Saccharomyces cerevisiae S288C: one gene and its partners. The protein of the gene in region 3 interacts with the protein of the main gene of each other region in a biochemical or structural test. Each region holds a gene or a part of one and is shown on either strand. Other genes may lie near its edges. The genes, in order: RDH54, SAE3, DMC1 and RAD54.

The links.
Region 1: the proteins of DMC1 (region 3) and RDH54 form a complex in vitro, tested with the Saccharomyces cerevisiae proteins (3 studies listed by BioGRID).
Region 2: the proteins of DMC1 (region 3) and SAE3 form a complex in vitro, tested with the Saccharomyces cerevisiae proteins (2 studies listed by BioGRID).
Region 4: the proteins of DMC1 (region 3) and RAD54 form a complex in vitro, tested with the Saccharomyces cerevisiae proteins (4 studies listed by BioGRID).

What each region holds. Positions count from the first base shown.
Region 1 is NC_001134.8:380,612-387,709, forward strand, and holds RDH54 (DNA-dependent ATPase RDH54), read left to right. Parts: upstream 1-2,500; coding exon 2,501-5,377; downstream 5,378-7,098. Other genes in the region: YBR071W (uncharacterized protein), read left to right, coding at 1-435; chaperone protein HSP26, read left to right, coding at 1,419-2,063; YBR072C-A (uncharacterized protein), read right to left, coding at 2,249-2,410; PFF1 (Pff1p), read left to right, coding at 5,675-7,098. UniProt on the Saccharomyces cerevisiae protein: Involved in the recombinational repair of double-strand breaks (DSB) in DNA during mitosis and meiosis. Has DNA dependent ATPase activity. Promotes D-loop (displacement loop) formation with RAD51 recombinase.
Region 2 is NC_001140.6:260,800-265,392, forward strand, and holds SAE3 (Sae3p), read right to left. Parts: upstream 1,755-4,593; coding exon 1,642-1,754; intron 1,556-1,641; coding exon 1,393-1,555; downstream 1-1,392. Other genes in the region: bifunctional endoribonuclease/protein kinase IRE1, read right to left, coding at 1-792; LAM4 (Lam4p), read right to left, coding at 2,002-4,593. UniProt on the Saccharomyces cerevisiae protein: Involved in meiotic DNA-break repair. Required for the recruitment of DCM1 to meiosis recombination hot spots.
Region 3 is NC_001137.3:546,478-551,902, reverse strand, and holds DMC1 (recombinase DMC1), read right to left. Parts: upstream 3,483-5,425; coding exon 3,351-3,482; intron 3,259-3,350; coding exon 2,386-3,258; downstream 1-2,385. Other genes in the region: YER181C (uncharacterized protein), read left to right, coding at 107-430; SLO1 (Slo1p), read left to right, coding at 781-1,038; ISC10 (Isc10p), read left to right, coding at 1,376-2,179; PDA1 (pyruvate dehydrogenase (acetyl-transferring) subunit E1 alpha), read right to left, coding at 3,824-5,086. UniProt on the Saccharomyces cerevisiae protein: Required for meiotic recombination, synaptonemal complex formation and cell cycle progression. Recruited to meiosis recombination hotspots by MEI5 and SAE3.
Region 4 is NC_001139.9:192,136-199,094, reverse strand, and holds RAD54 (DNA-dependent ATPase RAD54), read left to right. Parts: upstream 1-2,691; coding exon 2,692-5,388; downstream 5,389-6,959. Other genes in the region: SUT1 (Sut1p), read right to left, coding at 58-957; YRB30 (Yrb30p), read left to right, coding at 5,795-6,959. UniProt on the Saccharomyces cerevisiae protein: Plays an essential role in homologous recombination (HR) which is a major pathway for repairing DNA double-strand breaks (DSBs), single-stranded DNA (ssDNA) gaps, and stalled or collapsed replication forks.

The DNA of each region.
Region 1 (7,098 bases), on a different chromosome or scaffold from region 3:
AGTCAGTCAAAGTTAAAAAGGAGCAGCTTGTTACTGGACGAAACACTGCTTAAAGACTACCACTCGGCCATGAGGCACATGCAAACAAACGCTGCAAAGGAAGAAAAGCTGCGGATGGCTCCATCACCAACGCAGTCAACGAGGAGCGAATCAGACGCCAGTCTTTCCTCCACCAAGAGCTCGATCTCTTCCATATTTTCCCAAGATAATGACTATTCCATTCACGATTTGTTGTACGAAGATATTGAAGAGATGGATAAAACAGACGCTTTCAAAATTAACAACACAATAGCAATCGATGATTCTAAAGCTCTCTTTGTCTTCTGTTCAAACGACTCCTCCTCAAGGACAGCGTCTATCGAAACATTGCACGAATCAAATTTGGACAACCTGGATATGGGTTCCAGTAGAAGGACATCGTTGGACTTTTTTTAATATAACCTACCATAGGACACACTTTGTTGTTGATGTTGGACAATTCGTTAATTAAGAGTCCCTAAACGGCTCTACTAGTTCCAACCTCACTTTGTTTTTTCATTTTTTTATGTTTTTTCTAGAACCTTCTTTACGTGATTCTCGCTCGGAATCCGTCAATAGAATGTTTTCAGTCTCCGTTTCAATATTCTGCGCACATCAATCATTTTCTTACTACATACACTAACATTACTCCTAGTTTAATTTAATTGAATTTTTAACTTTCTTTTCTTTTCATTTGGCAATTTGGCTCCTTGAAAACAAGACTATGGGTCTCTCTCATAAGCCTCAGGGGGGGACCCCAAAAAAATAACGCGGCCATCTTGCATGCACCGTTGAACCTGTAGCTTACAGTAAGCCACAATTCTCTTACCTTCTTGGCAATGTGGCACAAAATAATCTGGTTATGTGTCTTCATTTGGTAATCACTGGGATGTTACTGGGGCAGCAGCAACTCCGTGTGTACCCCTAACTCCGTGTGTACCCCTAAAGAACCTTGCCTGTCAAGGTGCATTGTTGGATCGGAATAGTAACCGTCTTTACATGAACATCCACAACCAACGAAAGTGCTTTTTCAAGCATTGCTTGATTTCTAGAAAGATCGATGGTTATTCCCTCCCCCTTATGCGTCCAAAAATATAGGGTGCTCGTAACAGTAAGGTATTCGCACTTAGCGTGCTCGCAACACAAAATTAAGTAATATGCGAGTTTTAGATGTCCTTGCGGATCTATGCACGTTCTTGAGTGGTATTTCATAACAACGGTTCTTTTTCACCCTTATTCCTAAACATATAAATAGGACCTCCATTAGTTAGAGATCTGTTTTTAATCCATTCACCTTTCATTCTACTCTCTTATACTAATAAAACCACCGATAAAGATATATCAGATCTCTATTAAAACAGGTATCCAAAAAAGCAAACAAACAAACTAAACAAATTAACATGTCATTTAACAGTCCATTTTTTGATTTCTTTGACAACATCAACAACGAAGTTGATGCCTTTAACAGATTGCTGGGTGAAGGCGGCTTAAGAGGCTACGCACCAAGACGTCAGTTAGCAAACACACCCGCAAAGGATTCTACTGGCAAGGAAGTTGCTAGACCAAATAACTATGCTGGCGCTCTTTATGATCCCAGAGATGAAACCTTAGATGATTGGTTCGACAATGACTTGTCCCTGTTCCCATCTGGTTTCGGTTTCCCTAGAAGTGTCGCAGTTCCAGTTGATATTTTGGACCATGACAACAACTACGAGTTGAAAGTCGTGGTTCCTGGTGTCAAAAGCAAGAAGGACATTGATATTGAGTACCATCAAAACAAGAACCAAATTTTGGTTTCTGGTGAAATTCCATCTACCTTGAATGAAGAGAGTAAAGACAAGGTCAAGGTCAAGGAGAGCAGCTCTGGTAAGTTCAAGAGAGTCATCACTTTGCCAGACTACCCAGGTGTGGATGCAGACAACATTAAAGCAGACTACGCAAATGGTGTTTTGACATTAACAGTTCCAAAATTGAAGCCTCAGAAGGATGGTAAGAACCACGTCAAGAAGATTGAGGTTTCTTCTCAAGAATCGTGGGGTAACTAAAGTGACCTGGCTCTATAGTGTTGTCCCTCTCGCGAGGACCATTGTTGCTTGCATATGGGCTTGAAACATATGGTCATCACATCTGAGCGATTTTACCTCTTAGAATTAGTTTAGATATATATGAGTTGATGAATAAATAGTTATAAAAACTTGCTTTGGCTTCGATATATGACCGTTATTTTTGACTAAGTTTTAACGAAGGAATCTAACCTCGTTCTTGTAATTACCAAAATCTTCAACAACGCGCTGTTGGAGGTATCTCTATGGATGTGGCTTGAAATATGGATGTCTTGCCTACTTCTACTTCTGGGAAAGGCATTTTTACTCGATCGCGTTAATATATGCATCAAGAAAATAAAAAATAAAACGCGAAGAGCTAAAAAAAAAAAAGAAAACCTACTATAAATAACCGATTAGAATCGAGTTTTTGTATTGAAATGGCGGTAATAAGCGTTAAACCTCGACGAAGAGAGAAGATCCTACAGGAGGTAAAAAACAGCTCGGTATATCAAACGGTATTTGATTCCGGTACTACTCAAATGCAGATACCGAAATATGAGAACAAGCCATTCAAGCCTCCAAGAAGGGTTGGATCAAATAAGTACACACAACTCAAACCAACCGCCACTGCAGTCACAACAGCCCCTATATCTAAAGCCAAAGTTACTGTCAACTTGAAAAGAAGCATTTCGGCGGGACCTACTTTAAATCTTGCCAAGAAGCCGAATAATCTGTCCTCAAATGAAAACACTAGATATTTTACTATCATGTACAGGAAGCCTACTACCAAAAAGCACAAGACTTGGAGTGGTGATGGCTACGCTACCTTAAAAGCCAGTAGCGATAAGTTATGCTTTTATAACGAAGCAGGGAAATTTCTTGGGTCAAGTATGCTACCAAGTGATTCAGATTCTCTCTTCGAAACTCTTTTCAAAGCAGGCTCCAATGAAGTACAATTGGATTACGAATTGAAGGAAAATGCAGAAATACGTAGCGCCAAAGAAGCCTTATCACAAAACATGGGAAATCCCAGCCCACCGACCACAAGCACAACAGAAACAGTGCCTTCTACGAAGAATGACGGTGGCAAATACCAAATGCCTCTGTCTCAGCTGTTTTCACTAAACACTGTGAAAAGATTCAAATCAGTAACAAAGCAAACAAATGAACACATGACCACAGTACCTAAAACCAGTCAAAATTCCAAAGCCAAAAAATATTATCCAGTATTTGATGTCAACAAAATCGATAATCCTATAGTAATGAACAAAAATGCAGCCGCTGAAGTTGACGTAATTGTTGATCCATTACTGGGCAAATTCTTGCGCCCTCATCAGAGGGAAGGGGTGAAGTTCATGTATGATTGCTTAATGGGCTTGGCAAGACCAACTATTGAAAATCCGGATATCGATTGTACTACTAAAAGTTTAGTGTTAGAAAATGACTCAGATATTAGTGGATGCCTTTTGGCTGATGATATGGGTTTAGGTAAAACACTAATGAGTATAACTTTGATTTGGACATTAATTAGGCAAACTCCTTTTGCATCAAAAGTTTCATGTTCGCAATCAGGCATACCATTAACTGGACTTTGTAAGAAGATTTTAGTCGTTTGTCCCGTTACTTTAATAGGAAATTGGAAAAGAGAATTTGGAAAATGGTTAAATTTGTCAAGAATAGGTGTTTTGACATTAAGCTCAAGGAATTCTCCTGATATGGATAAAATGGCTGTCAGAAATTTTTTAAAAGTGCAACGAACTTATCAAGTCTTGATTATTGGCTACGAAAAACTCTTGAGTGTTTCTGAAGAATTAGAGAAAAATAAACATTTGATTGACATGCTGGTGTGTGACGAAGGCCATCGACTAAAAAACGGGGCTTCTAAAATTTTAAATACGCTGAAGAGTTTAGACATAAGAAGGAAGCTTTTGCTTACGGGAACTCCTATACAAAATGATCTTAATGAGTTTTTCACTATTATAGATTTCATAAACCCAGGAATCCTTGGAAGCTTCGCTTCTTTCAAAAGAAGATTCATTATCCCTATAACTAGAGCCAGAGACACTGCAAACAGATACAACGAAGAATTGTTGGAAAAGGGGGAAGAAAGGTCAAAAGAGATGATAGAAATTACGAAAAGATTTATTTTGAGACGAACAAATGCGATTTTAGAAAAGTACCTTCCTCCAAAGACGGATATAATTTTATTCTGTAAACCATACAGCCAACAGATATTGGCATTCAAAGATATTTTGCAGGGCGCACGTTTAGATTTTGGACAATTGACGTTCAGTTCTTCGCTAGGACTAATAACATTACTGAAAAAGGTTTGTAACTCTCCTGGATTGGTTGGCTCAGATCCCTATTACAAATCACATATAAAGGATACCCAATCTCAGGACAGCTATAGTCGTTCTTTGAACTCTGGTAAGTTAAAGGTATTAATGACATTACTAGAAGGTATTAGGAAGGGTACCAAGGAGAAGGTCGTCGTAGTGTCTAACTACACTCAAACATTGGATATAATTGAAAATTTGATGAATATGGCTGGGATGTCACATTGCAGACTCGACGGTTCCATACCTGCTAAACAAAGGGACTCTATCGTCACATCTTTCAATCGGAATCCAGCCATATTTGGATTCTTGTTGAGTGCAAAATCGGGAGGTGTAGGATTGAATCTAGTCGGTGCTTCGCGACTTATTTTATTTGATAATGATTGGAATCCTTCAGTAGATTTGCAAGCGATGTCACGAATTCATAGAGATGGTCAAAAAAAGCCGTGCTTCATATATAGACTTGTCACAACTGGGTGTATCGATGAGAAAATATTGCAAAGGCAATTAATGAAGAACAGTTTGAGCCAAAAATTTCTAGGTGACTCGGAGATGAGAAATAAAGAATCTTCTAATGATGATCTTTTCAATAAAGAGGACTTGAAGGACCTGTTTTCTGTCCATACAGATACCAAGAGTAACACACATGACTTAATTTGTTCTTGCGATGGTTTAGGTGAGGAAATTGAATATCCTGAAACAAATCAACAGCAGAACACCGTAGAGCTGAGAAAGCGTAGCACTACGACATGGACAAGTGCGCTGGATTTACAAAAGAAAATGAATGAAGCAGCCACCAACGATGATGCCAAAAAGTCACAATACATTAGGCAATGTCTCGTTCATTATAAGCATATCGATCCAGCAAGACAAGATGAATTATTTGATGAGGTTATCACAGATTCGTTCACCGAATTGAAAGATAGTATTACCTTTGCGTTTGTAAAGCCCGGCGAGATATGTCTCAGAGAACAATGACGCCAAATATGGACACTTATATACTAAATAAAATAGCTATTATTTAATCACTGATTGTATTTAATAGGTTTATTCTTGCACGACTCATTCAGGTTCAAGTCACATATTAAGTAGGGCCTATTGCTGATTCAAGTTGATATCCACGTTTTCACTAATTTGATAACGATACGCTGCGGGCGCAAATCAAACATCTGAAAGATTTGAATAGCCTTTAGTCCCAAAAAAAAAAAAAAAAAAATAATGTGAAAAATTATCTACAAGGAAATAAATTGATAGGTAAAGTTAAAGAATCACGGCATGAAATTAAAAAGTGTATTCAGATCAGTTCTAAAGTACCGGAAAACAAATTTGAGTTTGCTTCTATTAATCACCTATTCGATTATTACGTTACTCTATATCTTTGATCATGAACGTTATAAACTCAATCTACCAAAAGAGGATGAGCACCCTGAATTCAATGACTTATTAGAAACAGCATGGGGGGACTTACAGATTATCACGGCCTCTTTTCATCCGTACACGTCCAAAGAAAATGATAAAGTACATGATTACTTGCTCAAAAGGGTTCTTGAAATTACAGGGAATTCTTCGTTTGCAAGTGTTTCAGATGACAAAGAAAGCGAGAGATCCATATTATTTCAGCAACAAGATCCTTTCAATGAGTCATCTAGGTTTTCGAGAGTGACATATTTTGAATCTTCTAATATATTAGTTAAGCTTGAGGGTAAAAATCCTGAGGAAGAAGGGTTACTTCTTTCAGCTCATTTCGACTCTGTACCCACAGGATATGGAGCTACCGATGACGGCATGGGTGTAGTGTCTTTACTAGCGAACCTCAAGTACCATATAAAGCACAGACCGAACAGGACTTTAATTTTCAACTTTAATAATAATGAAGAGTTTGGCCTACTAGGTGCATCAACTTATTTTGATCACTCATGGTCTAATTTAACCAAGTATGTGATAAATTTAGAGGGAACTGGTGCTGGTGGTAAAGCTGTACTGTTCCGAACTTCAGATACTTCAACAGCAAGAATATACCAACAGTCTGTTAAGGAAAATCCATTTGGTAACTCTATCTACCAGCAAGGTTTTTATAGCAGATATGTCAGGAGTGAGACAGACTACAAGATTTACGAAGAAAATGGCATGAGAGGCTGGGATGTCGCATTCTACAAACCGAGAAACCTTTATCATACCATAAAGGATTCAATACAATATACCTCCAAGGCATCTTTATGGCATATGCTACATACTTCCTTACAATTAAGTGCATATGTGGCTTCTAATTCATTGGATACAGCTGACCAAACGCCGGCTTGTTATTTTGATTTTATCGGTTTGAAGTTTTTCGTTATAAGCGCTAAAACGCTTTTCTATTGGAACTGCATATTTCTATTAGTTTCACCCGTTGTGGCCATTGGCTTGTATTTAATTTCTCGTGATAGAATGACTTGGAAATCTTATTCATGGCTATCGTGGACACGCTTTCCTCTTTCATTAGCCGCTGGTATTATTGTCCAAAAGCTTTTCTCTAACGACATAATTCGTTCCAATCCTTTGACGTTCTCAAGGAACTACTTTTGGCCTATCTCGGCTTTTTTCACTCAAGTAATTTTTACCAGTTATGTTCTGATTAATTGCTCCAATTTTTTTTTCCCCTGTGCCGATATGAAAAGCCTATCAATTATCGAATTGTTCATTATTTTATGGACCATTTT
Region 2 (4,593 bases), on a different chromosome or scaffold from region 3:
TGAGCAATCCACACTCTGGCTCCCGAAATACCCGTTTTTTGAACCAGGTCCGAACGCTGATATAATTTCACCATTCAACATGTTTATAGTATACATTATAGTTCTCATCGATCCAGTGTAGACCTTTTCATCTTCAACAATTTTTCCAGAGTCATTAACCACAATATTTGTTTTCAAGTGCAGCGGGGAAGTTGATACAAGTTGTCGTATGGATAAAGGCAGTTTTTGTAACCCTTGATGGGCGTTAAAGTAGTAAATGTTCCCATCACCGAAAGGTTCTATAATCAACGTTTCATATGTTTCTAACCTCGAAGGTTCTTGTATTTCTATCAGAGGTTGAAAATTTTCTGGTTCGATTGACCATATGATATGACCATTTCTTCTATCTACAGCATGAAGTCCACCCTCAACGTCGGCTGCGATTAGTATATCTGATAAACTCAGTTCGTTCAAGGAACGATTCTCCAAATAGGGTACACTTATAGAATTGGCAGCCCTACGTCCTTTTTTGTTAGCACGTCGATTATCAGCAGTATTCAATAAGTTAGGAGTTGGATATGAGCTGAGTTTCATATTTGGTAAACCTTCAGTGGTTCTTGGAGCAGGAATGGGCGAGTTTATATTTTTATCCACACCATAGTTGAAATTGAGCTTTTTAGTGGAGGCAACTTCATCTTCCACTATCTGCCGCCTTGAGGTGCGAGACGACAATGGGATTGAGCATGAAATGATGGATGAAAACACACAAACGAGCAGTGTCAATACTAACATGTTTCTTCGAAGTAGACGCATTTTTCAAAGTGCTAAAATATTAATTCCTCAGATATGCTGTTTTTTTAATGTGTATGAAGGGTGATATGGAGAAAAGTGATAATGGACGTGGGGAAGAGGAAAACGATGCTTTGTGAATGAGAAAAAAAAGTTACTTAGCAGATTACCGATTATTAACAGTGCCAGTTATAGTGTAGATTTAATTGTGTAAAATTAATATTGTTATAGACTTTTCACTGTTAGTTTATGTGAAGTTGGCTCATTGATCTCCTATGATATGTTTTTCGTTTATTTCTTGTTACTATGTGATTAATCTCTTTTTTTAAATTTTATTGTTGGAATAGTCGAAGGTATTGCCCGAAGAGGCTTACGCTCCGTCTTGATTTTCGGCAATAAAATAGCGAAAACCTATTATATAACAGAGGGTAATAAAACCTCAAAACTACAACTATCAATATATTTCACACTACGCAGCTTAATTAGTAACTGTATAATAGCATTTAAGTTCATTACTTCTTTGTAATTTTATCTTTTTTTTTTTTTATATAGTTTTCAGCGCGCAGCAGAGTTTCATTGGAACGCTTCGCACGTTGGAAGAATAGAACTGTCCCTAAAAGCCCATTAGTCCTTCATTGAATAACCGATCTCTTCAAAAACATCCTTAATTTTGCATTGCTTTTCATCAGCAATTATTTGGGCCAACCTTAAACCGGCATCTCTCAATTCGTTGTACTCCTTTAACTCTTTAATGTACGTCGAGGAAATTTTTTTTGGTGTCTCATCACTTTGACAAGTTCTGTTAATAACAGAAACTAAATATTTTTTGTTTGTTATACCGATTTTTGCCGACTGGAAAAAATAGCTACATACTTTTTCTTTTCTTTAGACAATTGCTCAAACATCTTTATCAGGTTGCCATTCATACTTTCGTATTCCTGTATCTGTTTTTGCTTTTTATTTAACTGTGTTTCCAAATAGTTCATACTTGCAAGTTGTCTTCTGTTTATGGCAAGGATAAGACCATTGCTTTTAATTTAAAATTATTCTTATACTCTGTCTTTGCATTTATGAAGCAGAAATAGAATAGCCGCCATTAGGCAGAACAATTCCGTCTGATGTGATAATGCAAAGTGTGCCTGTCATCTAACTTAAAAGGAATCAGGCCAACCGCTACAGGATATGTACTAGATACAATTACTAAATAATACAAACAGAATATATAAAATGCTATTAAGATAGATCATTTGCGTCCCTCTCAATGTTGTCCAACATAGTTTTCATATGATTTAGTTGCATTTCTGTTATTTTGATACTTTCTGATAATTGCTGCAATTTGTGTTCGTCATCGTTTCTCAACATAGCACGACCTCGAGGTGATATTGCACTCCCTCTGTTACTGATCCAATCCCAAATATCGCTTTCCCTTCCTACAATAGGACTCTTATCCCTTGCGTAATTTACATTTTCTCTCTTCTTCTTAGATGATATGGCGTTTTCATATGAGTTATACAGTGTGCCGAAACTGGGCACGTAATTATATTCTTGACCATCAATCAGCAGCCTTCCTGGCTTGATGATTTGAAGATTATTTTTTTCTTGAAACACGTGAAGCCGAGGAGACCAGAAAAGCATAATGGTCAACCCCAAGATCAAGAATAGTTTTTGAGGACTCAGCAATTTGTTCATAAAAATTTCTGAACTAAAATTATTCTGAACGAAATCCAAAATATGAGTTAAAATGTCTTTATTATCATCGCTCTTACGGCTTTCGGAACTTTTCTGTTCAACCTTACTATGGAAAGGCCTATGTTTATCATGACTCTTCATTACTTTCTTCACCGGTTTTTTGCTTTTTGCCCTGCTAATAATGTCTCTTAACTCGGATAGCATGTAATCGACAGAAACCTTCTGACCCTCAACAGATCCTTTCTCAATTGCACCTTTCAAAAATGATTTACTTGTCCAGTTGATTTTTGTTATAACGGTCATATTCGTGGTGTCATGCTGCCCCCAGAATAGAAAGATTTTACTTTCTACTGCAAAATTGCTACCAGAGGGGACGTCTGGAGTTTTAGTTGTTTGTGTCACCAAAACATAGTTATTGATATCCATGTGTTCAATAGACTCGGTTAGTAAACATTTTGTTTGCTTAGGTCCGATAGAATTGTTCAATTTCTTCGTGTACTCATAGTGTCTTGAACCTCCTTCAACCAACGAAGGCGTGAATTTTGGTATCGTTTCCACATTGACATTATTCTTATCTCTAGTGATAACTTTCTGCATATACTCTGTATTCGATCCAAATAGCAATTGGACCACGGTCCCTAATGGAGCTGGTATATTCTCATTTTCCCTTATAATAGAGTCATCCTTATCCTTTTGAATATCAGGCTCGGTAGGTGCATGTGAGCTAGGTTCCATTTTCGGTAAAGTTGATACTGTAACAGTGTTCTCCTTCGAAGACCTTTTCCTTTTGGTAGCAGATCTTGTTAAAATATTACCAAGCTCCTCCACCAATATCTTTGTTGCATCCGTTACACCATCAAATGTACCCTTTTCAATAGGACTTTTGATCAAGCTTTTACCTGTCCATTCAACAGAGACATACAGTTTTAGTTTTGTTTCATTGTTGTTTGCCCATGATAAAAGATAAACTGTTCTCACATAAAATGAATTTCCAGAAGGAACATCCGGAGTTTTTGTTGTTTGCAAGACTTGAACATACTCCTCTAAGTTAAAGTGTTGAATGGTTTCAGTTATCATGCATTTAGTTTTACCGGGTCCAATGGCACCTGGTGTTGTTTTTACGTAGGAATAATCTCTCTTTTTACCTTCAGAAACCGTGGGTGAATCAACGAGAACAGGGATTGGCGAAATATCACTATTCTTTTGCGCTTTTAAAATGGCCATAATATAACTGACATCTTTCCCGAATAATATATTGACAACCCGCCCTAACGAAGCGTGTATTGTTGATTCGTTAACTAATTTTTCATTGGGCGCTGGTTTGTATACTGTTTCTGTGGGTGAGTGAATTTTTGGACCTAGTGGTGGAATTCCTGTTCCATAAGGGGTGTCTGTTTGTAGAGGCATGGGTAAATCTTCCGGCTTTCCTATGCTGACGCTTGATGTCATGTCGGTAGAATCAGATATGTTATTGCTATTATCGTAAAGATCGTCATCATCATCTCCATAATCATCGTAATCATCATCGTAATCGTCATTTTCATCATCACTGATAGAATTGGAGCTGCTATTAGTGTTATTACTGTTGCTACGAAACCTCTTTCCCAAAATTATTTGATTCCATACTTCAGTAATTAAATCATATGTAGCATCTCTTGAAGTGAAAGAGGCAAACGTGTATTTTGTGTGTAAAGTGTCTATAACGATCCCATTAGGGAATATTCCTGCTGTGGCCCTTTTCTCTATTTGAACGATTGTCTTGAACGGTATAAAAACGGTACTTACCCAACCAAGGATGTTCGAATAAAATCCAATATGTTGATCAGAAATATACATTCTGCCTTGCAAAAGGATATCTCTTGACAAAGCACAACTATGGTCTAAAATCAACCTTTCATTGGGGCTGACACCAGAGTCCTTGAATATTGCATGGAATTCTGCATCTTTCTTTTCGCTCGCGTATTCGACTCCCTTTATTCTAATGCTGGATTGTCTACCATTTTCCTCCGATGGCTCAATGATATTTACGGGGGTAGATGAAAAGCTTTTACTAGAACTTCTCCTCAATCCCGAAGATGGACGACCGTTGGACATACTAGGTCTCGGTATGATGGTCGATGCAATATCAGTGCTGTT
Region 3 (5,425 bases):
GTGACAACGCAAGAAACAAAAACAAATGCAATCTCAATATTATGTGAAATTGATGATTTCGTAGCGAATCATGCGCACTGTGGGAGAAGCCTGGGTATAATTATGTATGCTAATACTGTTACGTTTATCTGAGGTTTGTGTGAATTTTGTGATAATTATCGGGATTCCATTGTTGATAGAGGCTTCAATACTATGTATACAGAACATACTAGAACTTCTCCTCAAGGGTATAGGGATCCTCAAATTTAATCGGTATTTGCATACAATAATATTACGATTATTTTTCCTATCGTTTTATATGCTTCATTTTCCCATTACATTATCAATTCTTGCATTTCAGCTTCCATTAAACTTGCTAACTCTTTCTCAAGCTTCATTTCATCTTCCTAGATCTCATATGATACTATACCAGCAGCAAGAATGCTACTAAATGGATGATATTCTAGAGTTTCATTTCATCATCTACACGAAGGGATGGGGGCATCTGAAGTATTTGAAACGTTGCTATGATTTCATAATTTATGCAGGTTTAACACAGATTACAGGTCTCTTGGCCCAGTTGGTTAAGGCACCGTGCTAATAACGCGGGGATCAGCGGTTCGATCCCGCTAGAGACCAATTTTTTTGAAAATCGTAAAAAGGCCCAAAAGGGAGAGCACAGCACGTTCTGCTTAAAAAAATAAAAAATGATGTCTTCAATAAAACATCTTAAGGACCAGTTTGTAGATCTGCGAAGTTGTTGACTAGATAAATTATAATAGCAAACAAACAAATAGGACAATGTCAGCGGAGAACATTAGTACTGGCTCGCCGACGGGCAAGCAGCCATCCTCTGAAGTTAATCTTGGCGAAAGAGAAGCTGGAACAAAAAATGAGAGGATGATGCGCCAAACCAAACTTCTGAAGGATACATTAGACTTGTTGTGGAATAAAACCTTAGAGCAGCAAGAGGTGTGTGAGCAACTAAAGCAAGAAAATGATTATCTAGAAGATTACATTGGCAATTTGATGAGATCCAGTAATGTGTTGGAAAAATAACTTTTCAACGTAGGTTTCTGTTTTAAATAGGTAGATCAGTCAAACGGATGCGTCGCATAAATGGCTGATAAATTTTTCCACTACTCGTTTTCTCTTTTTCTGAGTTTCTATATTTTGCGCCTGTTTTACAAAGAAACCAGTATGGTTTGATCCCATGGGCGATGCCACAAAGAAGCTATAGAGAAAAAATGTTAAAATATTCGAAAAAGCTTCGAAAGATTTTATTGCGGTCACTCATGATCATAAAAAAAACCCTTCTCGCATTTGTAACATTGTATTTTAGTTTCTACTTCTTGTAGCAGGCCCTGAAGTATAGATTCTCAGACACAGTGACAAAATGGATGTCGATGAGAGGTTGCATCAAGATGAAAATCAAACCCACCCTTTTTCGCAAAAGAAGTCAAGCAGTTTCTTGATAAAGGAAAAAGCTGCTACAAAATCCAAGGATCTTGAACATATAAGGCTTCGTGACCTAAATTTCAATCATAGAAAAAAGCTAGATGACAAAAAATTGGCAAAGCAAATCCCAGTTAAGGCAAATTTCAAGAAGCCTAACGAAATTGAAGCTCGCGCTAACCTAAATTCAAATGAATTAACAGATATCAACCTTGACTATATACCGGATTCCCCATCTATAGAGAAAATATCAGGGCCTGAGGATTCTATTGTTGTAACGCCAAGAAATATCATACATTTACAATCTGATTCAGATATTATTCTCGAGGAATGCGAGCATAATTATGACTGTAGCCCTTTTTACCGTCTGTTCAACTACGAAAATAGAATTGAGCCCGATGACTACGAGGCTATTATAAACGCTATAATAACTGACGAAATTGCTGGCACATATCCGGTTTTCGAACGGGAATTAGAGTACCAAGAACTGAAAAGTCTTGTCAGAAAGCGAGATTATATTATGTATTATTTCTTGTCAAGGGATTATCGGGGGTTTTTTCAGTTGAAAGAGGAACGTACTTTATTTTATAGGTACCCTTCAATTGCGTACACTAGCCCGTTGAGGTATCTGGATAATGGATCTGAAACCGAGCAGTTTACCGGGGATGATGATGAGGAGCTCCAATCATTTGATTTTGAAAACACATCATCTGTGAGGACTTTAGATAGTAATATATGGCGTTAGGTAATGCTCAATTTTATATACGCATATGCACCATAGTAATTTAATATTTTTTTTCCGAATTACAACAATTATATTATAATATTCCTTTCTTTTGGAGCTGCTAAAACAAAGAATCATAACAAGATATTAATAATATTAGTAACACAAAGTAAAAGAAAAGTTTAATAAAGGAGCAATGTCATCTTCATTAAAAAAGTATACAAAAACTAGTCACTTGAATCGGTAATACCTTTTTCACCAATTACGTAGACACATTCTTTTTCAGGCATATCTGGGGAATCTTGTAACTTGGCAACTCTTTCGTCACCACGCCCTTTTCTCAACAAAATCCTTGTTGCTGACGCATGTGCCAGAACGTGCCCTCCAATTGGTTTCCTACCATCTGCCGAGGCAAATAATGCAGAAGCACCTGGGTCTGATTGAACTTGGTTTGTCAGAAATACTGCAACATTAAATTCCTCTGCCAATCTATTCAATTTGAAAAGATGTTGATTTAGCTTTTGCTGTCTTTCGCTTAGTTCACCTCTACCGCAGTAGTCTACTCTGAAGTTTGCCATTATAGAATCTACCACGATAAGGCGATAATCTCCAGAACTAAGTTCTTCACCCAATTGTTCAACAAGTTCCATTTGATGTTCACTATTCAAGGCTCTAGCATATGAAACGTTTGCCAAACATGACTCGGGATCCAATTCATAACCTTCTGCAATTTGCTTAATCCTCTCGGGCCTGAAAGTGCCTTCTGTATCAATATATGCTACTTTCCCTTCACCACCACCCATTTCCCTCGGAAGCTGCGTGGTAACACACAAAGTATGAGACATCTGTGTCTTACCACACCTAAATTCACCAAATACTTCAGTGATACTCATTGTCATTATTCCACCACCTAGGATTGAATCTAGTTGCTTAGATCCAGTTGATAAGGAGTACACACGCTGTCTTATATCTAATTGTACAGTAGCGGGGATAAATCCCACCTGTATGATTTTTCCAGCAGCTTCTTTAATTTTTTCCACTTTCACCTCACTTAACCCTTTAATTTTACATAGATGTCTTCTTGTTGTTGACAAAACGGTCTATAAAAGTTCCTTTCCAAATTATTAGTTAGTAAAAGAAAGGGGGAAAGAACCTCTACAGCAGAGGTTTTAAAAATGTTATTATAACATACATTGACTGTGTATATCCCACCAGACTTCAATTTTTGAAGATCTGAGGCATTAATACCATAGTTCTGTAATTCATCTACACTAAGAATATTTTTTGCTGTATCACTATCGATCTCAGTTCCTGTAACAGACATATTTGTTCAAATGCTTTCCTGATTGGCATAACAGACTACAGCAAATATAAAAGGGTGAAAGTAAATCTGGAAAAGTAGAATCCAAATTTTTTGGGTCAACTACCCTTCCCTTTATATAAAAGTTTATCCTTGGGCGGCTATTTTCCGGTCTGTTAATAACTATCTCTCCACACAATGTGTGGGGAAAACCCGAAGAAAAACAACAAGGCATAAAAAAGAGCTATATTGTTGATATACAGTTAAAATATACTTGACTTACATTTCTTGCTATAAAATGGCGCTTCCAGGGAAGAATATCATGCGATCACAGCACTATTATTTTATTTTTCCTTACGATTTAATTAATCCCTAGAGGCAAAACCTTGCTTTTTGAAGTCCCAAGTATCTTCAGGGATCCTACCTCTTAGGGTTGGAGTTTCTGTACCTTTCACGTAGACGTCTTCAAACAAGATGGATAATTTGGCTTCTGGAGGAGGAGCAGCATCAGCTAATTCAACTTGTTCGTCAACGTATTTTCTAGCGGACTTGTCGTAAGCTTTGACTTCAGCTTCAGTGGCAATACCTAGATCAATCAAATGCATCTTAAGACCAGCAATTGGATCGTTCTTGGATCTCATATGCTGAATCTCGTCTCTAGTTCTGTAGGTAGTACCGGGATCAGACATAGAATGGCCACCGTACCTATAGGTTTCATATTCTAGAACGAGAGGACCTTTGCCGGATAGACACCAGTCCTTAGCAAACTTGGATGCTTGGTAGACAGCTAGAATATCCATACCGTTAACTTTTAAACCTGGAATATATTGACCACGCTTGAAATATTCAGTCATCGCGGAGGATCTTGAAGCGGCGGTACCCATACCGTACTTGTTGTTCTCACAGCAAAACACGACGGGCAAATTCCATAATTTGGCCATGTTGAAAGATTCAAAAACTTGACCTTGATTAGAGGCACCATCACCATACAAAGTGAAAGAGCAGGCGTCCTCGTTCTTGTATTGGTGAGCAAAAGCTAAACCTGCACCTAAAGGAACCTGGGCACCCACGATACCATTACCACCATAGAAGCCTGGAGCGTAAAGGTGCATGGAACCACCCTTACCATAAGAGACACCGGCTCTTCTACCCATCAATTCAGCCAGAACGGCTTTCACTGAGGCACCTCTCATAAAAGTGAAACCGTGACATCTGTAAGATGTGATGATGGAATCCAATTTTGTGATGGCATTCTCGATACCGACAGCAATGGCCTCCTGACCAACAGATAGATGGCAAAAACCTCTGATTTTCTTGGCCTTGTACAAGGCGTCACAAGCCATCTCCATTCTTCTGATGATGACCATATCTTTATACATCTGTAACAAGGTGGCTTTCGAAGTCTCATAAGACAAGTCTGGAGGCTCTAGCATATACGACTCGAAGGAAGATTCAGGCAACTCAATTTGCACTGTGTCCGAGCCCTCGATGTCCTCAGGGGCCTTCTTATCAGTTGTTTTTAAAGTTGCCATGGTACGAACATGACCTATCCTGGTGGGAGTGCGAAGAACAGCTCCTAACCCGCGGACCAATTGTGATGGTTGGCGTTTGAATGAAGCAGCAAGCATTGGCACAAATGTGGTTTCCTTTCTTATTGCTGTATCCAACTTTTGTGAAGATACAGGTGCGACAAACATAAAAAAGTTCTTGCCGTTAAGAAGCTAAAGTTGCTTCTCGCTATACCAGAGGGGATTATTGTCGGGAGTCATGATGCGACATTTACCCGGTTGAGTAAGGAAGGGGTGGAGGAATCAGAAGAGAGATAAATAAACATACACGTCAAAACAGTATAGTTCAAGTAACACATATAGACATGTACACGCGCGATTACGTGTGTACATGCACATGTTAATGTTATATACATATATAGATATAGATATATAATTGCAATAATGAACTACAAATTA
Region 4 (6,959 bases), on a different chromosome or scaffold from region 3:
ATATATGTTAATGCTAAATGCAAGTTTTGTGATGCTATTCATTAGAGATGCCTTTGTCTAAAAATCAATGCTTTTATAGTCATCATAGGTTATGTCGTAAATGGTTTTATCCTTAAATTTTAAGGAGATTTTGGATGAAATGTTTATGTCAGCTCTGGTAAAGCCTTTTGAAAAAGTACATTTATCATTTTTTGGGAAATTAGTGGAAGAAGAAGAATGCTTTTTCTTAATGCATGGTAAACAAGGTGTGAGCAAAACCAACTTATCAATATGCTTAATCAACTTGCGTGAGCCTGTACCCTCAATGACATCATCCGGTATGGCAATATTCCGCAACAGCGTGCCTCGATATAGCCGAATATCGTCAGGAGTCAAGACGTACCGCAACTTGTTCGAGATCATTGGCATTATAGTATCGTCTTGAAGCAAAATCTCAATTTTCGCATTACATTTTATTTTTTTCAAACGACATTTGTCACAACTTGGGCCACTTCTTTGTCTCTTGGAAATTGAACTAGTAGATGTGGCAGAGGAGGTTGTCGAGTTGCTCGTTGAGCGCGAAATTATAGACATTTGAGTGCATGACGCATTAGCGTCTTCATTGACCATGGAAGCAAGAGCATGAGGATGATACTCAAACAATGGTGGAGTGTAATTTTGTGGAGGGGGAACAATCGCACTTACGGGGAGCGTTGGCGGCGGCGTCACCGTGGCAATACCAATAGCGCACTCATTACTGTCAGCGGCAGCAGGCTTTAATCTCTTATAGCCTCCTAAAAGCTCGTCAGTCGGAAAAGCCCGCTTCCTCGTCCAAGTGGTCGACAAGAGTTCTGGATCGGTGATGCCCACATTTTGGGTGCCTTTACGCCGTATATCTTTTTCTAGCAGGGAAACATTGGGGAGCAATAGCGGTGGTAGCGATCGATCTCTATTTCTTACTGTAATGCTTGTGGACATCTTCTTTTGACATACGATGACCTCAATGATTTAGATTATGTGTTGCACTTTTATAGACCTACCAAAAATCCAGTGCGTACACTAATACTTTCATAAAGATACCTGAAACAATAACCAGAAAGATCGGCAAAAAAATTTTTTTTCTTTGCCGAGATCACAAACCTACTATGACGAAAAAGCTTGAAGTTTAGATGAGTAAGGAAAATACAAGTGACGCTTTTATATGGTGCAAGGAACAAAAACTAAAAACAACAAGGCAAATGTGGATCTGTCATGTATGGCAACGACAGCAGGATGGCTCACAAAAAAAGACAAAAAAAACTAAGGCAAAAGAACAAAGCTCCTCTCCTGCTCAAGAAACGTATTGTTGAAAAACCACCGTCGTAAGAAAGTTTTTCTGTGACCTATAATGGTTTAAAATCGGCCCATTTTTTTTCCCTCTTTTGTGGTCCAGTCTTTCTCATACTCGAGGGAAATTCGACACAAACAGCGGAGAAGTGTGGCTAAACCGGCAAGTGCCTGCAAGATCCACAGAACTAACCGCACGAACTGGCGGTCAGAAAAGAGCCTGTTCCGGAAAGAGAGAAACAGAGAAACGATCATGATGGGAAAGCGGGGATTCGGCGAAGAACGAGACTGGAAAGGGAAAAAGAGAAATACTGGTGGAAGTATTCGGACCTTTGGCGAAGTCCGAACCCTTGAAACCCAAAGATGATCGATGATTCATTTTTCAATGCGCTACGGTTCCTGCCGCTCGTGGGAACCCCACGCAAAACATATTATTCGCTTCTCTCTGCTGACAACTCCGGTTTACGTTATACCGTATTAGGATCACTATAAGGGTTCCTTCGGGAGGAGGGGGGAGGGGAAGAATGTACATCGTCATAAGGCCTTTATGGTGTGAAGTGGGTTTTGCGTGGAAAATTCGTTTTCAATGATATAGAGCCCACGCATATACGTACATACTAGTGGCCAAAAGCGTGGGGTGGGCGGACAAAGCTACACTGGTAAAATACAGGATTCTATGAACAATAACAACAACCAGCTCACGTTGCTGAACAGCCGAGGTCAGCCGATGCAACCGAGGTTTCCAAAGTAGCATTTCTGTGCTAGCTATGTCTGTAGGTTTACATTTAATGGTGCGTGGTTCCAGCTTCATGTGCTTGCATGTGATGTCCTGCAGATGGTAAGAAGATTCTGAAAGCCGCGCTAGGAGAAAAATATTCTGCTCGAAGATCTGTCCTCTTAAGTAGAAAGCGTGAAATTGTTGCGTTCTTGCATTACTACTCAACGCGTACGCAAATGCGTCTACTGCACCTGCATGATAAAGCTTATGTATCAAAAATTTAACATCTTGAAAATACACAAGTGGTGCAAAGATGTGTCACGTTCTGGACCTGAGTGGTGCCATGTATGCTATTTAACATGCAAAGGGGAAGACCCTTCCGCCTTACTGCAATAATAAAAAGTATTTTACGCGTTACCCAATATAGCAAAGTTTCGCGCAAAAAAAAAAATAAAAAACAATTACAAACAAAAAGAAAAAAAAGGAAATAATAGAAGATCTAACTGAAGCGAAGGCCAAAACTCTTCTCACTTGACGTAATAGCCGATACAAAATCTAGAGCAGCAACTTTTCTCTTTCTTCACTAAAGCTGCTACGAAAGTATAGAAAAATCAAACGCTCAGAACTTAGCTCTATTTCAAGGTACCATATATATTTCCTTATAACTGATGGCAAGACGCAGATTACCAGACAGACCACCAAATGGAATAGGAGCCGGTGAACGGCCGAGACTGGTACCTAGGCCTATTAACGTACAAGACTCGGTGAACCGACTAACGAAACCGTTCAGGGTCCCGTACAAGAACACGCACATCCCGCCCGCTGCTGGTAGAATCGCCACCGGGTCTGATAATATCGTAGGAGGAAGGAGCTTGAGGAAAAGATCAGCGACTGTATGTTATTCCGGCTTGGATATAAATGCGGACGAAGCAGAGTACAACAGCCAAGACATAAGTTTTTCTCAGTTGACTAAACGACGGAAGGATGCTCTTAGTGCTCAAAGGTTGGCCAAGGATCCGACAAGACTGAGTCATATCCAGTACACTTTGAGAAGATCTTTCACTGTGCCAATCAAGGGATATGTACAAAGACACAGTCTGCCATTAACGTTAGGAATGAAAAAAAAAATTACTCCAGAACCTCGACCTCTACATGACCCTACAGACGAATTTGCCATAGTGCTTTATGACCCGTCCGTTGACGGTGAAATGATTGTCCATGACACATCTATGGATAACAAGGAAGAAGAATCAAAGAAAATGATCAAAAGCACACAGGAAAAGGATAATATTAACAAGGAAAAGAATAGCCAGGAAGAAAGACCCACACAAAGAATAGGACGCCATCCAGCTTTGATGACAAATGGTGTGAGAAACAAACCGTTACGTGAGCTACTCGGTGATTCGGAAAACTCTGCGGAAAACAAGAAGAAATTTGCTAGTGTCCCTGTGGTTATTGATCCAAAACTGGCCAAGATTTTAAGACCCCATCAAGTCGAAGGGGTGAGATTCTTATACCGTTGTGTCACAGGGCTTGTCATGAAAGATTACTTAGAAGCTGAGGCGTTCAACACTTCAAGCGAAGATCCCTTAAAGAGCGACGAGAAGGCACTTACTGAATCTCAAAAGACTGAACAAAACAATAGAGGGGCCTACGGCTGCATCATGGCCGATGAAATGGGGCTGGGTAAGACATTGCAGTGTATAGCACTTATGTGGACATTATTAAGACAGGGCCCGCAGGGTAAAAGACTTATCGACAAATGTATCATTGTTTGTCCATCTTCTTTAGTCAACAACTGGGCTAATGAATTGATAAAATGGTTGGGTCCCAATACTCTAACTCCGTTAGCGGTTGATGGGAAAAAATCTTCAATGGGTGGTGGTAATACAACAGTTTCGCAAGCTATTCATGCCTGGGCTCAGGCACAGGGAAGAAATATTGTTAAGCCCGTTTTAATCATATCGTATGAAACATTACGTCGAAATGTTGATCAATTGAAAAACTGCAATGTGGGTTTAATGCTGGCAGATGAAGGGCACCGTTTGAAAAACGGTGACTCTTTAACATTCACAGCTTTGGATAGCATCAGTTGTCCTAGAAGAGTTATATTATCTGGTACACCCATTCAAAACGATCTTTCCGAATATTTTGCTCTACTGAGTTTTTCGAATCCTGGCTTATTAGGTTCCAGAGCAGAATTTAGGAAAAATTTTGAGAATCCAATTTTGCGAGGGCGTGATGCTGATGCTACTGATAAAGAAATCACAAAGGGCGAGGCGCAATTACAGAAGCTATCTACCATTGTCTCCAAATTTATTATCCGTCGTACTAACGATATTTTGGCCAAATATTTGCCTTGCAAGTATGAGCACGTTATTTTCGTAAACTTGAAGCCGTTGCAGAACGAGCTCTACAATAAATTAATTAAGTCAAGAGAAGTGAAAAAAGTAGTAAAAGGTGTTGGTGGGTCTCAGCCCCTGAGGGCTATTGGTATTTTAAAGAAGCTATGTAATCACCCTAATCTCTTGAATTTTGAAGATGAATTTGACGATGAAGATGATTTGGAACTACCTGACGATTATAATATGCCGGGTTCAAAAGCCAGGGACGTACAAACAAAATATTCAGCTAAATTTTCCATTTTGGAAAGATTTCTCCATAAGATAAAGACCGAATCCGATGATAAGATTGTTTTGATCTCCAACTATACCCAAACCTTGGACCTCATTGAAAAAATGTGTAGATATAAGCACTACAGTGCTGTACGGTTGGATGGTACAATGTCAATTAACAAAAGACAAAAATTGGTGGATAGGTTCAACGATCCTGAAGGCCAAGAGTTCATCTTCCTCTTAAGTTCTAAAGCAGGTGGGTGTGGTATCAATTTGATTGGTGCAAATCGATTAATTTTGATGGATCCGGATTGGAATCCTGCTGCTGATCAACAAGCTTTGGCACGTGTTTGGAGAGACGGTCAAAAAAAGGATTGTTTCATTTACAGATTCATATCGACTGGTACCATAGAGGAAAAAATCTTTCAAAGACAATCTATGAAAATGAGTTTGAGTTCATGCGTGGTCGATGCGAAAGAAGACGTTGAAAGGTTGTTTAGTTCTGACAATTTAAGACAGTTGTTTCAAAAAAATGAGAATACGATATGTGAAACACACGAAACATACCATTGTAAACGTTGTAATGCTCAGGGTAAACAATTAAAGAGAGCCCCTGCAATGTTATATGGTGATGCGACAACTTGGAATCATTTGAACCATGACGCATTGGAAAAAACAAATGATCATCTACTAAAAAACGAGCATCATTACAATGATATCAGTTTTGCATTTCAATATATTTCACATTGATCTCTTACATACATGTACTTATAAAACAAAAACAAAAAGTAGAATTCGATCGTCGGGGGGTCATTACATATTTATTTTAAATGATGGGCATGGTTATATATATTTAGACGTAATAAACAATTGAAAATTGGGGCCAAATTGGTAAATATCTCTATGTATTTCAATCAAAAAAGTATAATCGTATAACTTAAGGGTAAAAAAAGTTGAGCGATGTCATATTATACTTGTGCTAGCTTTTAAATTTTTCATTATCTTCAGTTTTATCGTGGTAAAGTGCCAGCCGAAACTGCCAAAAAAGATTATGGCAAGAAAATCTCACGCTGTCAGGGAAATAAAAATCTGATACAGTTTCACACTCTCAGAAGGATTAACTTTAACTATTACCTAACACCAATATCTGAAGAGAATGGATGAAATTCTTGCCAAAGCAGGTTCACAAGCCGTTACATTTGCTATAAAATCCGGAATATCGATAGCATCCACATATGCGCTAAAGACAATAACGAACTTTGTCGTCCAGATTCCTAAGGATGATGCTAGAAGAATAGATCAACTGAAATTTAAACTGGAAAGCCGCATGGCTATTGTATCCAGTGCAATTGACCTAATAAAGCTGGTAGCGGCGAGGGGAAACACGAATTTGCAAATCACTCTGAGGTTAACCAAGGATTTAAAAGAAGAGATTGATAGGTTTGATGAGAAGATCAACGAAATGACGCAGAAAGTTGAGGGTTCCAGGAGCGCAAAAACACAGAATGAAGCTATTAAAGCGGTAGAAAACTATATAAAGGACTTGCTATTGAGGATCGAAGAAATCACTCCATTCATTAATCTTTCTTTAACCACTTCTGGTGCCAACTTGAACAGCGCACTCCCATATCAACTTTCTCCTGGTTTATTATTAAAAGCCTCCGATTTCGTTAGCGAGAACAATAGAAAGTATGAAAAGGCAATGAAGAGTAATGAGAAAGGAACAGGTGACAAGGAGATTCTAAAAGTTCAAGTGGGGCCTACATTTGAGGTTACACTATTCTCTATTTTCTATAACCTAACTTCAGAAAACAATGGGCAATCAGGAATTGTTTGGAAAGAGGATATGAAACGTGCAAAAGCAAGGATATATAGATTGAACTCTACAGGCAGAAAGTATGATTATTTTATGAAAATAGAACAAGACTTCAATGACGGTAGATATCATGAGGATGATGACAAAGAAGACACACCACAGGAACTTGCCATAGATCTGAACCATATTAAGAAGCTGTTTTTCAGTGTTTCCGGTAAGCTTCTCCGATTAGAAGAACAGGATTCTCCAGTGTTGGTATTGAAGATTGACCGGAGCGATGACAAAGAAAATGAGAGCAGTGAAGGAGACAAGGGATTACTCGATGACATTACTTGGTATGCGGTAAGCGGATATGAAGCGATAGAGGAAGATGAAGAGGAAGATGAAGAGGAGGACGAAGAGGAAGGAAAAGACGGAGAAGAACGAAAGGAAGAAGAAGAAGAAGAAAATAAATTGGAGGACAAGGATTCGTCGATCACACTACTGGAGTACATCATTCGGCTGA